Linked DNA regions of Mus musculus: all the other regions are reported to be linked to region 2. The links are microRNA targets in miRTarBase. Many come from high-throughput screens and were not tested one by one. Region 2 holds a microRNA gene; each other region holds the end of a gene's coding sequence. Distances are between the middles of the regions.

Region 1 (4,259 bases), 48 Mb from region 2:
CTATACATGATAACCAATTATTAGAATTGATAAAATTTTGATAAGCTTACTCATAAAAATGTCAGTAGTTTCTCCCCTAAATAACAAACATTTACATCAGAGAAACCTCCAGGCATAATTTCTTTGGTTTTTACAGTCATTGTGTGTGTGTGTGTGTGTTCTGCGAGTGTGTGTTTTGCCTACATGTATGTATGTAAACTTGTATGTATGTATACTTGGTGCCCTTGGGAGTCAGAAGAGGGTGCTGAATCCCCTAGGGGCTGGACTTAGAGACAGTTGTGAGCCACTGTTTAGGTGTTGGAAACCAAATGAGTCTAATGGTCTAGGTCCTCTATAAGAGTGGCCAGTCCATGCATCAAAAGATGGCCTAGTCGGCCATCACTGGAAAGAGAGGCCCATTGGACACGCAAACTTTATATGCCCCAGTACAGGGGAACGCCAGGGCCATAAAAGGGGAGTGGGTGGGTAGGGGAGAGGGGGTGGGTGGCTATGGGGGACTTTTGGTATAGCATTGCAAATGTAAATGAGCAAAATACCTAATAAAAAATGGAAAAAAAAAAAAAAAAAGAGTGGCCAGTCCTTTAAACCACTGAGCCATCTTTACAGCCCCTAGACATAGCTGGTTATATGATCAGAATTACCCTAAGTATCACAGTAAATCAGTAGCCTATGAAAAGAATCTGAGGTTTATTCTACTGCATCTAACACACATGATCATTGCTGCCTTTTATCTCTAAGGGAGGAGAGTCTTATGAAAGCAGCCTTCCTTCAGAGCTTGGTAGAAGACAGAACAGAGTCTGCACTGTCATATTATGAATTCCTCCTGCACATACAGCAGCAAGTGAACAAGTGAGGAGTCGCTGGCGGAGTTCCTGAGGATGCAGTACCTTTCTTTCCTCCTTAAGATTGTGAACAAATGTGATGATGATTAAGATGTTTCACTGTGATTTCAACTAACTATAGCAAAGAAAGGACCACAGCCGAGAGTCAGATGTGCAACTCCAAAATACTGTATTTTTCAAATCAAATAGATGTCTACACAATTGGAAACCTTTTTTTTTCCCTTTGCTGCCAACTATGTTTGAGTTGTTATGGATTGAGATGAGACAATATTGCAGAGGCAAAGAACATTTTATAAAATAAAGACTTCTGTGTTCTGCATTTCTATTTCTCATTTTTTTATTTTTATGAGTTTTTGGCTGCTACATTTAAAAACGTCACAAGACTAAGTGTTTTAGGGACGTTTCAAGTCTATCAATAATGATCTTTTTTAAATTGGAAAATCCAAAAGTCAGTAGACTGTAGAAAAGCTGGAATCCATCCCTTTACATATCTGTTTTTGCCCCGCCCGCCCCCCCCCCCACTTCATTTTGTAGGGAAGGAAAAGGATCATGTTAACTGAAATTGGAGTACACTAGCTCTGGTCCTGCTTGGGAAGAATATAAAGTAAATTGTCAAGCTTTAACATCTGTCAGTATTTTCTCTACTTGAACAAAGTCACTTTAATTTGAGGTGAAAACTAATTAGGTGGTTTTCTGCTGTTTTATTCTGCCGTGAATAAAATTTGAGCTGTCTTCATAAATATATCAGGACTGGCAATGATAATAGGAGCTGGTTCTGTTGGTTCGCTGAGTGGGTTTTTGTTTGGTCCATTTCTGCTGTGGTTGATAGAGTTAAAGTATTACAAGCAGTTAAAGGTTCCCTAGATGCAATCTTAGAATGCATCAGCGTATCTCTAGGAAGTTTAAGGATTAAATTGGAAGCCGTTCATGTATTCTGGGATATTAAAACCTTTTAAGGTATGAATGCTGCTGTTTGAGTTGGTGGATACTAAGATTGTACAAATCCATCATTTTAAAATTATAAAAGAAACTTGATTTGTTATCATGCTCTAAAGACTGCTTGTTTTGATTCAGTTAGAGAACTATTACAGTCAAACTATCAGATGGCTTTTGTTTACAAATAGGTAAATTATCCATGTGTATTTAAAGTGCTATGATGTGTCTTTAAGAGTTTGCCTCAGTTTTCACAGGTTCATCATCTTGTATGAACTTCTTTAGTAATATTTGTGTGTAATACTCAGAGATTTTTTTTTTTTTTTGGTTTTTGTTTTCATAGATTAGAAATGTGTTTACAATCTCCGTCTCATGTGATCACCAATATAATAGTAACTTCCAGGTTTACACCCACACGGGCTGACTGTAACTCCTGGGAAGGGAAGCAGCAGGCCCCTGGAGTGTACAGACAGCTATGCTTGCCAGCTGCTTCCGGACAACTGTGCTTTGTGAGAGTAACAGTGTTAGAGTTCCTTTTCTTTTTTAATTCCAAGCCACACATGATGGTGGCACAGGATCCTAACCCCAGTGCTTGGAAGGCTACGGCTACAGCAGGTCGATTGCTAGCCTGGGCTACATAGCAAGTGCCAGACCAGCTAGACTTTGTCTCAAAAAGACAATTGAAAATTTTTGTTTCAGTGTACATATAGTACATTCAATTGAGGTTTTTTTTTTTTTTAAACTGCTTCATTTATTGAGAAGCAGTTTTCAAACTATAACCAATTAAGTGTATATTATTTCCCCTCTTTTTAAGAAACAGCCATTATATACAATGTTCCTTTAAATGAACTAAAGTTTTCTTTTTAATGGGATTTTAAATGTTAGTATTTTTAGGTTCTTTCTTCATAGTAAGGAATCTTCCAGAGGGAAATGTACTCCTAGGGAAACCTTCCTCGTGCCTTCCCTGAGTGAGTCTGACCCTTATTAGCACCTGCTTGGTTAGTATATTTTACAAATTTACTTTTAAATTTTATTTTAGATATTATATTATGTGCAATCCAGAGTAATTTTATAACAGTTATAAAAACATAACTATTAGGGTTCACAACTTTGTTCTCCAGACAAGAGAATGAACCGTTGTGGAATATTGATATGATTATTTTTTTGCTATATTGAATGTTTTTCAGTTTTGACTTTTTTTTTTTTTGCAGTAAGACACTACCCGTCCTACCATCCTGTATTACTTTCTGATGTAAAGCAACTAATATTTACACTATGCCATATTTTTTTTATTGTAGTTGTAAATTATGAAAGATCCTTGAATTTTCTACAGATCTACAACTACTAAAGTAACAGACAAGGGCAATCTTGATATATAAATCTGAGCATGCAGTTCTACCATAAAAAGTACTCTATTTTTCTAATTTCTAGAATTTTTAAAATAATGTTCCTGTAAGTCTGACATACTAATATTCACTTACGCAGTAACACTTATTTTAGCTTGCATATATTTTAATTTAATGTAATATACTGAGTCTAATAGACTGTTTTGCAATAATTAGAATAAAAGATTTACTTCTTCTAATCAGAGATGCATAACAGCTATTATCTAGGGGACCACCAAATGTGATTTCACAGTTTTAACTATTATAAACACAATTGTTACATAGAAATTTTAATTTTGTAAAGTAGTGTATATGATATTGTAACATTAAGTCCTTGTTCTCAAATCAAAAGTATATGTTGACCTCCAGTGTATTGTGCTCAGTCTTGCTCCCCTGAAATGTTGAGACAAGATTGGTCTTCCTTTTTACAGATTGTAATTTTCACTGTTTTATTCCTGTTTTTTTAAAAAAAAGTCATTTGTAACCCATGCAAACAATGTTTGATCTGTGCTAACTTATAAATTTGGCTATTCAATAAAGTTAATCAAAAGAGCTTATGAAAATGTTAGTTATTGAAGATAGTCTAGATTGGTGGCCTTCCTGCCTCTACACGGGTTTGTTTTGGGGATAGCTCTCCTATAGCCTCATCTAGCTGCACACTGACTATGTAGCCAAGGACAGAACTGTGACCTGATCCTCCTGCCTTTACCTCCTAAGTACTAGAATTACAAGAGTGTCCCACTGCACCTTGACTTATACGGTACTGGAAAAGTACATAAGGGGCCTTCACTTGAGCTAGGCAAACACTCTACCCTGTGAAACCATAGCTTCAGCCTTACACTGAATGCTTGATGCTCCACAAGGGTAGCTAGGTTTGGATTCCAGATTGGACAGGATGGCTTTCTGAACGTTGGTGCCTTAAAAGATGACTAACCTATAGGCCCAACTATTGTTTGCCGATTGTCTCCTAGCCTTTGGTGGTTTTTATCCTTAATACTCTACAGTGTTATTTCTCTGGGCTTGTTGTTTACCTTGCTTTTTCTTCAGGTGATACTCTAATTAGAAGATCCTTGTTCTCTAATTCTGGAAGTTCCTAGCC
Region 2 (4,259 bases):
GGCTCTGGGCAAGAGTCCTCTTACAAGCTCCTGGCTGTGACAGAGCTTTAGGCTTAGGCTTAGGCTGTGGGGTTGGAGCCTTGCTGCTTCAAGGAGCCTTCCTTGCCTGGCTTCTTATTGGTACCACCCATCTTCAAGAAGGCAGCAGAGGTGGGCATGGTAGCACTTTAATCCTGGCACTCAGGAGGCAGAAGCAGGAGTCTCTCTTTGAGTTTGAGGCTAGGCTGGTATACAGAGAAAGCTCCAGGACAGCCAGAGCCACTTACAAACCCTGTCTCAAAAAGAAAAAGAGAAAGAAATGGAGGGTGTGCAGCAGACAATGTGTGTCCTGTATGGGATGCCCCAAGGTCCTCTACTTCCTCCTGCTTTCCGTGGGCTTGTGTGTTGGTCAGATGCTTTCCTCATTTTTATTGTTAGTGTTTAGTGTTGGGAACTGAATTCAGGCCCTTGTGCATTCTAGGCAAGTGCTCTACCAGCTCCCCATGCCCCAGTCCTTGCCTCTCTCATCTGAAGGTCACTTTACATAACCTGTTCACAGGGGCTAAAATGTCTTAGAGTCAATATTTTAAAGATTATGCAAGGTATGTTTGTGCAGCCCAGGAGTGCAAGGCCTTGAGGAATTTAAGAATTCTACCTGTTCCCAGCAAGAGAAACCAAGGTGACTGGTATTTTGTTTGTTTTTCTTTTTGAGAGTAGCCCAGGCTGACTTCAAACTCCCTGTGCAGCCAAGGATGATCAGGAGTTCATGATCCTCTGGTTTCCCTTCCCAGAGGACAAAGAACAAGGGGATTGCAGGGACTGCCCAGCAGCCTTGAACTTTTTGTTTTGTGATGTTATATTGAGACAGGGTCTCTCTGTATAGTGCTGGCTGTCCCGGAACTCGCTATGTAGACCAGGTTGGCCTTGAACTCACAGAGGTCTGCCTGCTTCTGCCTTACCAGTGCTAGGATTAAAGGGGTGCACTGCTATGCCCAGCTGGTCTTAAACTATGAATCCTCCTGTCTCCACCTCCATGTTTCTGGGATTATTGGCATATGTCACCACATACCCATCTTTTCCTTAATATCTTAAAGCATCACACAGATTTATGTCTTAACAGATTTATGTTAAAATAGATTCCATGTTTATTTTACTATTAAAACTTCCCTACCCAAACATTTGTTTTGTGTTTTTGTTTTTTCCTTTTAATGATGCCCTTGCAGATGCACCACATAGATTCTGTGGCCTCAAGTATCCTGGTCAGTAACATTTAGCCCAACCAAGAAATACAGCACTAGATGGTTTCTAAGGCCTCTGAACCCAGCCAGCCTGGAAGAACTCAGCTGGACAGGCAGCAGGTCACGGAGCAGGCTCACTTTAAAGTCATTGATCAGGCCCTGGCCTGAAAGACAGGTTCCTGCCAGTGGGTCCCATGGCCACACATCTTTCCCCTCATCTATCCCCCAATAGATAGCATAAAACTCAACACTGACGCTCCGGAGTGCTGGGGACAGGTGTAATGGCCGTATGTTCTTCCCAGAGTTGTGGGAGCCGCCTATGAGGACAGACACAAATACCCCAGGTTTGCAGAGAAGGGCTCTTAATGATTTCTCCTTGCCTGCTGGGTCCGGCTCTGTGTTCAGCCTGGAGCTGGGAGGCCCTTCTACCCGCCATGGGCATGGTGGGACCTTTCCTTTGCCCACAGGGCTAGCTGGTCTGTCCATCCCACTCTCCTGTAGTGTAGGCTGGGAAGGGTCCGTCCCGAACTGCAGACTTTCCACTGGGGCAGTTAGTCATCTGAGTAGTGGTTCCCTGTAAGGAAAGGAAAGACAGGGAAAGAGGCATCAGGTGGGGCTTAGGGAGTTAGCCCAGGATCCCACCTGGCCCCTGGTGCTCACCCAGGACGTTGAACTTGCACAGTGGGCAGGTCTGTTGTAGCATCAGCCAGGGGTCCACACAGTCTCGGTGGAACTCATGCTTACAGGGCAGTACCCGGAGCCACTACAGGGTGAGAGGAGGGGCACAGGCTCTAGATGGGAGCTAGACCTGTGCCCTTCACCGGGACTGTGCATATAGCACTCTTAGGCCATTGCCAGGTATGCTTTTGCCAGCCATAATAAGGACTGGAAGACAGTCCTGGTTGGAGATTTGAGGGTCTCTTGGGAGCAGGATTGGGGACGCCACAGGCCAGCTTGTAGCTGACTGTGCCTAGGTACTAACTTGCTTGTTACAGAAGTAATCTAGACACACAGCACACGTCTCAGTGCCCGGCTCTGGAAGGCTGTGTGCTGCCCTGCTCAGCCGGCAGCGCCGAGTCTTGAGAGATGCTAGCCTCCGAACCACACGGCGTTTGAACAAATCCTCCTGTGGGAAGAAGATGGCCACAGTCTTGCAGGCCCAAGGGCTGCGGGTATGAGGGCTTCCACCGTCTGGCTCCCACCTGGCCTCCAGGCTCCTGCTGGTTCTGTCTTGACGCCTGCCGTTGGGCCTGAACCACAAGTCCTGTACACAGGAGCATGGCCACAAGCAAGATGGCGTTCCATAGCTGCTGCAGGGGCTTCTGCGAAGGGAGGCAGATGTCAGGGCACTGAGAACGCTCCACATGCTTCCCCCAGGGATATTAACCCCCGAAACACTGAGGGGCTCTGCCTGTGGAAGCCCCTCGCTTGCTCTTCTGAAGTCTCCATGCCACTGGCCTATGTGCTCTCCCGGGTCTGCCCCAGCTCCATGGAGAGTCGCATGTCTCCCTAATACCCTGTTACTGTGCCCCAGCACAGATCTCCTCCTCGGCTGTTCTCAGTCCCTACATCCTCCACTCACCGTCATCTAAGCTGATGGTCACCTGAAGCCACAGACAAAGCTGGTGGGAGTGCTTCTGTGCTATGGTCATTTTCTCTTCAACCAGAAGCACGAAGCACTCCCCACCCCCACGCCCAGGACATCACCAGCAATCTGACAGCCATGCCTTGGTCTCCTTTGTCCCTTGCCTTGCCACACTTCCCCTGTCATGAAAATTGATCTTCATTGTCCCTTCTCTTCACACCTTTGACCTACTGCTCCAGGAGCATCCCCTGACGCTCAGGGTAAGTGCTCCCCCTGCCCAGCCCTCCTCATACCCATAGGCCATGGGCTCTCTTGCTGCTGTCCTGGGTAGTCCTCCAGGCCCTTTAGTATGACATAGTCATATTGGAGACTCAGTCTTTGGGGGAATGAAACTGAAGTGGCAGAAGCAGCAAGCCACAGGGGCTTTCCCACCCAGGCACACCATTTTACACCGAGTTTAGATGTACTGTGACTGAAAAACAATTCACTTCAAAGTCCTCAGCTTTCCTAGTAGCTCTTTGTCACAGCAGACGGGGGGGATGTCCGAACAGCCCTATAAATCCTGGGACTGTTCTTCCTAACATAGGTTTGACTCCCATCACAGCAAAGGAGAAGGGTCAAAATGACCAGACAAAAGAGCTACCATCCTAGACCAGTCTGGGAGCTGTGAATGCAGCAAAACCAGCCCTTGCTTGGGGTGACAGCACTGGGATCATTAGAGGCCTCTTTCCCCTCTAATCACAGTGGAGTGGTGGCATCTAGTCTGAGCCCAAGGTTGGGCTCAGGTCTTTTTTGCTTTGACCTGGAAGAGCTTGTGCCTGCTGCCAGCTTGTGGGTCAGCCCTACGGAATGACAGTGGTTAGCTGCTCCCTGGCCACAGTGCAGACTACTGTGCAGTGTGTACTACAGTGTGGCAGGCCAGTCAGCCATCAAGAAGAGCCTCTCTGCAGCCTGTGGTCTGGAGCAGCCAGGACTTGATTCAGCGCAACTTCCACATTCCCAGCTCAGGGCAGTTCCTAGAGATGCCTGCCCGGCTATCATTTGAACATTTCACCTGCCATGGCTGTATAACATGGAATAGCCACCCCCATCTTGGCTGGCAGTACCTTCTCAGCTATTCAGCTTTGTCCTCTGTCCCTGCCAGCCTGGACTAAGCTATACATTCTCACCTCCAGGCCACAGAGGCCCTTCCCCAGCCTGCTCTTCTCCCAGATGTAACCTATCCCTCTGCCCTTCACCAAATGCTTCCCGTCCCCCCAATAAGTGAGGGGAGAGAGAGGGGGGGGGAGAGAAAGGGAGAGAGGGAGGAGAGAGTGAGAGGGAGGAGAGAGAGAGAACAGGAAAGCACCTGGCTTAGGTAGTTCACCTAAAGTTTAGGAGCCAGGGTTTTAACCTGTCTGACTTGAAACTGGCCCACATCACAAACTATTGGAATCTATGCAGTAGAAGAAGAGAGT
Region 3 (4,259 bases), not on the chromosome of region 2:
GCCAGTTCGCTTATTTGGCTCCATTGGCAGACAGGGTCTTGCCAGTGCACTCTGGCTGGTCTTGCATTGGCATCACACTAGTGATCCTCCTGCCTCAGCCCCCCGAATTGCTAGGATCACAGGCTTGTGCCCTTGAAAAGCCCAGCCCTGTGACACGACCCTCCCTTTGCCTTTGTCCCAGGTGTGTTGTTCGCTCAGCCACCACCTCCTACAGCACCTTCCGCCCCCGGCAAAGGGGGCGTCAGCAGCATCGGTACCAACACCACCACGGGCAGCCGGACAGGAGCCAGTGGCAGCACTGTCAGCGGCGGCCAGGTGGGGCTGCCGGGGGTGTCTACACCCACCATGTCTTCTACCTCAAACAACTCCTTGCCTTAAAGGAAACCAAGTTGCATGGCTGCCCACCTGCCACAGGGACCACACGGCCACACAGGGGAACCTGGGACGTCAGAAGAATCCCAGTGGGCCGGTAGATTCCCAAGGAGCCACACTGACGCCAAAAAAGAGAGAGAGAGAGAGAAAGAGAGAGAGAGAGAGAGAAAGAAAGAAAGAATATATATATATATATATATATATATACATATATAGAAAGATAGATAGATGGAGAAACAGATTTAATAAATCAGGGCAAAGCAAAGAACACTTGAATCTCTCAGGTTTCGGAGACTCCAAGAAATGGATTTGATGAGGGCCACCAAGGCAACCTCGAAGCCGAAGGAGGTCCCCTTTCCAGAGGCTTCCACGGGGTTTTGCTTGAGCAGCCCATTCAAGCACGTCTGTTTACCTCATGAATCCCGGCACTGCGTGTTCACAATTTTTTGTTTTGTTTTTGTTTTTTTTTTCTTTTTTTGTTCCTTGGTCTTTAGCCATAGTTCCTTTTGGAAAAACCAACCTTGGAAGCTATGAATTTTTCTTTTCTTTTTAAAACAAGATCTCCGCATTCAGAACGCAATTTTAAAAAAGGGTTTGGGGTTTCTGATTTTGTAAATATTCTATTTTATTCTTGAGGGCAGGGATTGGATCTTAGGAAGAATCTATCTGTATATCTATATATTTGTGTTCATTCAGGGAAACAGACTTTTTTTAAAAAAAGAGAAAAGCAAAATACCAGCCATGGTCGGTCCCCACCCTTGTCACCCCAGAGCCCTTGCGTGTCCTGCAGTGCCCCTGGCTCAGCTAGGAGATGCTGGCTTTCAGCAGTTTCCACAGTTCGGTCAGGCTGGCCCTGCCCACTGGCTCCATCATTCAGGAACCTGGATTGCTTACCCAGGACACAGAATGTTCTAGAAACGGGTAGGGGAGCCATGGAGTGCAGTGGCCTCCTGTGCCTCAGGGATGACAGTGCTGGATTCTCTTTGCCTGGATAGGTTGCTTTCAAGAGACAGATGCAACAACGGGCCTAGCTCAGGGCAAGGACTAGACTTGAGTCACAGCCTCCTGTGTTCCATCTCTCTTCCTCTTTGTCACTCCCCTTGCTGGGACAACACCTGAATGTGACAGTAGTCAACCGGGAAGGATCCTGCTGTCTCTTCCATAGGAGCCAAACTAGGCATGGCGGCACACCCTGTCATCCCAGCTCTTAGGAGGATGAGGCAGGGGGATGGAGAGAGTTCAAGGTCATCCTTGGCTACATATAGAGGCTGAGGCCAGCCTGAGCTACTTGAAACCCTATCTCAAAGAAGCAAAATAAGACCAGGCTGGGTAGTGGCACATACTTTTAATCCCAGCACTCTGCGAGTAGACCAGCCTGGTCTTACAGTTAATTTCAGGCTGCCCAGGGCTACACAGTGAAATCCTGTCAAACAACAACAACAAAACCAAAAAACGTTGATTCCTTTTGGCTGGAGCTGCATACATACTCTCTGCTGGACGGAGGAACCTGTCCTGGACTCAGCCTGGTCTCCATTCCCAAGTGGGCAGTGCTGGGTTCTCCTGGAAGAGGAGTGGGGCATATGCAGACCTGGGAGCTGGGACCTGCTTGTTCCTCAGCCCCAGGAGCCATGAACCCCCAAGTGTATGCTATGGGGATCGGGCCCTCTTTTGTCCTGTCTCAGGTTGTCAACACACCCCTTCCATCCTTCCAGGAGGGGGTGCCGCCTATTTGGAGGGGAGGGAGATCTCAACTTTTCCTTCTGGAAGCTTCTGCCTGCCCCGTTTTGGGGCCACTGTCTTAGCCGCACAATCATTCCTGGTCAAGGGTGTTGAGGGGTCCTTGTCCCTTCTGACAACCCTGTCCAAAGTCCACCTCCATGGGTAACTGGCTCAGGGATATAGCAGCCAGCCTCCTGTGTCCCTAGTGGGGTCTATCTGAGGGGGTCACCTTGGTGGGCACATGCAAGGCAAGTTTCTTTCTACCTCAGGTCTTTTGATGCCAAAAAGAAAAAGAAATGCGCCCAGGTCACCCACTTGTCTGGTCACCTTCTCAATGCCCATGGTGGGAACTTGGTGTCCACTTGTATCTCAGGCTCTGTGAGTGACCAGAAGCGCCAGATCCTAACTCAGGGGACCTTGCCCCCCATGGCTCTGTGACTGTAGTGGGGTGCCCCCTGCTGGGCATACTCAGCAGCCCTTCTTGGTCCTGTCTGTGCCTCAGTTGCCCCATTAGGCCTTCGCATGGGGTTCAGTTGGCACCCATGCAGACTGGAGTGGGGTCAGAGCTGGGGTCGTTACTGTCCACCTGGTACCTCAGGGCTTGGCGTGGGGCAGGTGAGACACCCAAACTCAGGGCAAAGGGTGGAGGGGCAGGCACAGGCTGCTTCTAGAACCTTCCTGGTCACCCTTACGCAGGCCACCAGGCTGTGTGTCTGTCTGTCTGTCCAGCTGCAGTGGGTGGGTAGGGATGGGGTTTGGGGACAGCTGGGTTAATGATTTCTGAGGGTTATGCATCTGTACAGTCTATTTTTTTTTCTTTCATTTTAATCATTTTTACACACTTTGGGTTTTTTTTTCCCCCACCTCCACATAATTTTGGCTTTTGTGGATTTTATTTTTCCTTCTGGGTAAATGTGAGCTGGGCTGTTTTGTTAGGAACAGGGGAATTTTTGTTTCTTGGGGGTGGGAAGGGCTTGTCCGACAGCCTGGGGGTTGCACACAAACTCAGGTAAAAGTGAAAAAATAAATAAGTGGATTTTAAAAAAATTAAATTAAAAAAAAGAAAAAAAAAAGAAAAAACTGTTTTCTACCTCTGGTCAGGCCCCTGTGGTCAGTTCCCGCCCAGGCTGTGGCCTGAGGCCCACAATGGTCACAGCTGTGCGGAATATTCAGGAAAATTCAGCTATTAACAGGAAAACTCAGACAACAATGGGGTAAGGTGTGATTTTTGAAATTTTTAAAAAGAAACACTGAAAGTTTACATTTTATGACCTTATTGTGGATTGTATTTAAACCTCAGAAATATTTAACGGGCTTGTAACCCTGTAAATCAGTGATATTAAAGAGTTGAGACACTTCTGTGAAAGAAGAGTGGCTTTTTTGATTTTGTTTTGTTTTGTTGGTGTGTGGAGGGGACCCCACAGAACATACTAGGAATGGATGTCTGGGGACAGGAATAGTTGGTGAGACTTAGGAAGCACCTGGTTTGTGTGGAGGAGGCCCTGCCTGCTGCATGCTTTCTCCTTTCACTTCATGTCTGTATGGGTGGTGGGTGCAAGGTTGCCCCGTGGATGGTGGGTGGGCGCTGTGTGCAAGGTTTTCCCCTTCCACCCCATCGGTCTCAGGGACTGAACTCAGATCATGGAGAGGGTGGGGTTCCTGTCTAGCTACTGTTTCCTTTCTTGCTTAAAAGAAAAACAGAACAAAAACCAAACAAACAACTTTACTATCTGAGAATTTCATACAGTCTATGCTGACTGTATTCTCTTGGGACAGGGTCTCATTACAAAGCCTTGCTGGCCCAAAACTCAAAGCACAGAGATGGGCAATGCCTCTGCCTCCCGGGAACTGGAACTAAAGCCGGGAGCCACACGCATGGCCTGTCTCAGAACCTTTGCATAGGCTGTTCCCCTGCATGCCTTCCCTGTCGGCCTCCTGTCTGTGAGCCATTCCTTTCTAGCCCTACCCTCAGCTCACACTGAGACAACATCAGCCCATCTCTGTCCTCTGGGCTAGTTACATGTGACGCTCACACCTCCACCTCCTCCCCGCCCCCCCCAAAACCAGGTGGAGCCCTCTTAAGCCAACTAACTCCCCAGGGCTCGCCACCAACCCCCACGGCCACCACGTCCCATCATCCAGGGACCAAAGCTCCTGGTAACCTCCAG
Region 4 (4,259 bases), not on the chromosome of region 2:
TGTGCACATTCATGTGCATTTGTGTGTGCCAAAGTACATGTTAGAGGCCAGAGACTGATACTGGTTATCTTCCTCTTATGTTTTGAGACTGGTCCTCTACACTGGGACTCGCGGATTTGTCTAGGCTGGCCATGGAGCTGGCTTGTTTGCTATCCCCCTAGCACTGGGATTGGCACAGTAGTAGCATCTCTTGCCATACCTGGCTTTTCTGTAGATGAAGGGGTTCACGTTTGCCCAGCAGGTATTTTATCCAGTAACCCATATCCCCGGTTCTCAGTGCCCTAAGATGCAGAACACGAACCTGTCACCCAAGTTATGTCTCCCTGACCACTACAGAAAGAAACCTCAAAGCTTACCTGTGGAGGAAATGTCTGTAACACCCATGGAGGACACAGGTTCTTTATGAACCCTCACAAACAGCAGCAGAAAGCGTCTCAGTCAACAGTTAGGAGCTGTTCCTCATACTGAAGTCTTCTATTTTCTAATTGTACCTTTAAGCTCCAACACCGTTAGCCATGACATCAGCTCTCCCATAGTGTGTAAGTATTTGAAACAGTGAGAATTCACTTGAGAATTCACTCTCCAGACGAACTTTCCTCTTGAGGGCTATTTCCAAAGTCATCACCATATTGTTGGTTTCTCAAACACTTGTGATGCTAATTAATACAAGCCTGCTGAAAATGTAGTTCTTAGGATGGGTCATAGTAGCCCATTCCTTATGGGAGCTAACCATATTGGGATCCAGAGGGACTTTCGATCTGGATACAAACATCTTCCAGTTCCCTCTTCAAAGGCTTTGTGCTTCCCACAGGCCCCTCCCTATATGTGCTAAACAGTGAACTGCTACTGATATTTGGCTAGAAGGTCACCAAGACTTTTGGTTGCCAAGTCACATCATCACAGTGAGGTTTTGCCTCTACCTGACAATGGGACTTGATTAATTTTGTTTTATGTTTGTCTTAGTAGAGGAATCTTTCAATTTTAATAACATGTTCATATATAACTATTCCAGCTGTTATTTATATGTTAGTATTTTTTAGTGGATTTTCTTGCTTTTAGCCAAAGGACTTGCTATTCCCCCTCTTTATTCAATAGCTAGGAATCCACTTAGCCAAAGTTATCCAGTCCTATCTCTCAAGCACAAAGGTATGTCAACAGAGACACCAAGTACCTTGATGGGCACAGTGAGCACTTTCTATAAAACTTTCTTAGGTATCCAGCTTCTCTGATGACAAACGCTGCAGACATTGTACCTTGGGAAGAACACTTTAGAGCTGCCTCTGGGTATCTGAAAATCGCCGGTGGAAAGCTTGAGAACAGAGGACGAGCACAGCGGAACAGGGGTACCAAACCTGTTCCTTATGAGGAAATGGAACATGCAGGAATATCCAACCAAATAGAAGCCCAAGCAGAGGGTGGTGGCATCCACCTATAAACACAACACGAGGGGTGGTTGCGCGGCTGATTCGCTGTGCCTTTAACATTAAAAGACAAAAGTACTGTGAGCTCATTCTCACGGACAATGATGTCACTTTATTGTGTGCAGTCAGTCTTTTACACACTGGCTATTAGCTTTTCCAAGTAAAGTAAGATTTATGATGAAGTTATTTTTGAAGGAGACAAACCGGGCAATAATAGAAAAAGCTGAAGAGAGTTTTTTTTTTTCTTTCTTTTTCTCCTTTTTTTTGTCTGAAAGTAGGAAACAAAAATGGGGGTGGGGACAGATGTGAGACGCTTCCAGAGGTTTCTACCACCACCATAAAAGCAGCTGGGAGAGCATAGCACTTGCTAGCATGGGTGAAGAAGCCGGAGGTTTGATGCCCAGCCTTGTAAAAATCAAATCAAACTACATAAACAAAGGGCTTCCCTGCTGTGTACCAGCTCTTGGTACTCTGTATAACTTTATTACACGACATAATATTTTATTGAACACAAAGTCCACCGGGTCTAAAGAACAGACAGGCTCTAATTTCGTTTCCTGCCAGGAAAGTCATTCCTCAGGTATGTGTGGAGAAACAACTCAAAGCCCTGTGGAAAGTCCGATCACAGCTCATTTACATTTTCTCCTCTCTATCCTACTTGGCTTCCGTTTGGAGTAGACTCCCAAGGCTAAAATAATGCTGTGAGCTCACTACTCTGAGCTGGAAACTTAGGTCCCAATAAAAGGAGTTGGAGATCTGGAGGTTCACTTAACAGTCGCCATATGAAACAGCCTGCTGGACAGCCTTTTCCCACAGCTCGGTTGCCCACGGAACACTTGGGAGCAGCTGTTCGCAAACGCTCTGCTCCAACGCACTCTTTTCTGGAGTTTTCAAAGCTAAGTTCCAGTGGATGTCATCTCTCCCCCTGGCACTTCAACACACTGTGACTACAGGGCCGACCTACCACTTTCAGGGAGGCAAGGTCAGAGTCTTATTAGAAACGTGAGAACTGAGCTGAGTGAGGCAGCTCACACCTGCGCCCCTAAGGCTTGGGAGGCCGAAGCAGGGGAATTACCATGAGTTCCAGGCGAATCTGGCTCCATGGTGAGATGGTGCCTCAAGCAAACAAAATAAAAAAAATATATATATATAAGCAAAACAAGCAGAAACAAATACATAGCAAATACTAAAAGTCGAGAACCCAAAAGATGCCTAAGTTCTCTGCTTCTCTCACTGTGACTGCAACCGAAGACTTGACATTTGAGCTTCTAGTGCAAGACACAAAACTTATATACTAGGCCAGTTGAAACAAAATTTAAAAATATTATCTAAATAATAATATTAACTTTAGAAATTAAATTTTAGAAGGGAAAGAACCCCAAATCTAAGTGGAGCTATGTAAGTAAGTGTGACAGAAGCCGAGAATCACAAAGCTCACTACAAAAGACAAACAGCATTGAAGTGTATCCTGCGGGCCTTGACACACACAGGCAAACTGTCACTTAGTTGTGAGGCAGAGGGTCAAGGTTGACACAGGGCTCTGAGAAAATATTTACCAGAGAGAACATGCTGATTCACTTATCAGTCCAGGAATCTCAAGTATAAAACTTCAAGATATAAGAAAGATCAAATTATATCATGTATGTGATTCAATTTAAAATGTCTTAGCCCTCTTACATTATATTATCTGGATTATAACAGTAAAAAAATCAAATTACAGTCATATGAAACTTTTATCAAAAGAAATCAAATCTGTTTTTATGAAACTTTATAGTACAATTATTTTTAGTGGGTCTTTTCTTAGGTCACAGTATTTATAATTCCATTTACATCTGTATAATTTTTAAAATGAAGAAACAAAAGCAAATGAATAGAAATCTAAGTTTTCCTTTGTAAAACTGCCTTCAGTCTCCAGGCCGGCACCACATGGCGGACGGTGTTGGCTTGTCCTCCAGCCACGGACAGCCCCCAGCGTCCCTGCTTTACGAAGCATTCAGGCCTCGACTCATCAGGAATGCTTTCTGGTTTGGCTCACGTTGCAAGAAATTCTGGAGCATGTCCATGCCGTCCAGGGACCCCCCAGGCTTCAGGATTAGGTTTCTGTATTTCATTCCAACCTAATAAAAGAAAACATCATGCCTAATAACTCACGGGCCCAGCAATCCTCCAGATCCCCAGACACAAGGGAGAGAGAGGTGAGGGCGAGGAAAGGGGCTTCAGCTCTACTCGAGTCTAGACAGTTCTGCTCACGCAGCAGCTCGCTCGCTCCTTCCTTCCTTCCTTCCTTCCTTCCTTCCTTCCTTCCTTCCTTCCTTCCTTCCTTCCTTCCTGTAGTTAAGAGATTTGGAGCTTTAGCCTCAGGCCTGAATTCCCTGTGGAATATTAATTATTGTCTCCTGTCCTTAGATTCTCAGCTGTGAGCTGACAATGAAGGCAGGCAGGGACACCAATCAGCCAAACAGAACACAATTTGCTACTGCCAGTTAGCCCAGTTCCAGTGTGATTCAGAAGGGCTAGCAGAGCAAGTGTTCCCAAGGCTATGGGGCTGCATGTGCTTCGGAGCAGGAACTCGGCTACTGTCAAATGCCTTCAGGTATTTTTATAAGGGGCTCACGAAAAAACAAAACAACCCCCCACAAAGAAACCTAAGCAGCATTCTTGTGGATGGCTAAGTGACAAGTGATTCTGAGGGGTCAGGAGTGGAAGGACAGAAGTTTTGAGAGATGGAAGTCTGGAATTTGAAAACAAACCACAGTTCCTCTGTTTTTATTCACATGAACATCCGAGCAGACATGTTGAAAGAGAACAGCTGCTGCTCAGCGTCACATAAGCACAGCT

What was found. The annotated mature microRNA mmu-miR-3060-3p reads CCAUAGCACAGAAGCACUCCCA and lies in region 2 at 2,844-2,865, opposite strand. An mRNA with a match to its seed (bases 2 to 7 or 8) in the 3' UTR can be bound and repressed. Matches are read on the target gene's strand: a 7mer-m8 pairs with bases 2 to 8, a 7mer-A1 pairs with bases 2 to 7 and ends in A, and an 8mer does both.
Region 1: miRTarBase lists Sec24a as a target of mmu-miR-3060-3p. Seed matches in the 3' UTR shown: 8mer at 1,992-1,999.
Region 3: the mRNA of Arid3a is a reported target of mmu-miR-3060-3p. Seed matches in the 3' UTR shown: 7mer-A1 at 900-906 and 7mer-m8 at 2,018-2,024.
Region 4: miRTarBase lists Nln as a target of mmu-miR-3060-3p. Seed matches in the 3' UTR shown: 7mer-m8 at 2,597-2,603.

What each region holds. Positions count from the first base shown.
Region 1 is chr11:51,691,721-51,695,979 of GRCm38, reverse strand. It overlaps Sec24a (Sec24 related gene family, member A (S. cerevisiae)), which reads left to right. Exons shown (of 23, transcript NM_175255.3): 23 at 739-3,717. The coding sequence ends at 853. Among named protein-coding and RNA genes, the nearest start is that of 0610009B22Rik, 5.2 kb to the right of the region's middle.
Region 2 is chr11:4,138,019-4,142,277 of GRCm38, reverse strand. Mir3060 (microRNA 3060) reads right to left here and starts at 2,914; the gene lies at 2,832-2,914. It overlaps Rnf215 (ring finger protein 215), which reads right to left. Exons shown (of 9, transcript NM_027859.3): 6 at 2,420-2,539; 7 at 2,200-2,343; 8 at 1,878-1,980; 9 at 1,085-1,791. The coding sequence ends at 1,769. It overlaps Ccdc157 (coiled-coil domain containing 157), which reads left to right. Exons shown (of 12, transcript NM_001164620.1): 12 at 1-1,155.
Region 3 is chr10:79,951,559-79,955,817 of GRCm38, forward strand. Arid3a (AT rich interactive domain 3A (BRIGHT-like)) reads left to right here. Exons shown (of 9, transcript NM_001288625.1): 9 at 182-3,460. The coding sequence ends at 378. Among named protein-coding and RNA genes, the nearest start is that of Wdr18, 6.5 kb to the right of the region's middle.
Region 4 is chr13:104,021,543-104,025,801 of GRCm38, forward strand. Nln (neurolysin (metallopeptidase M3 family)) reads right to left here. Exons shown (of 13, transcript NM_029447.2): 13 at 1,897-3,538. The coding sequence ends at 3,404. Among named protein-coding and RNA genes, the nearest start is that of Gm30967, 14 kb to the right of the region's middle.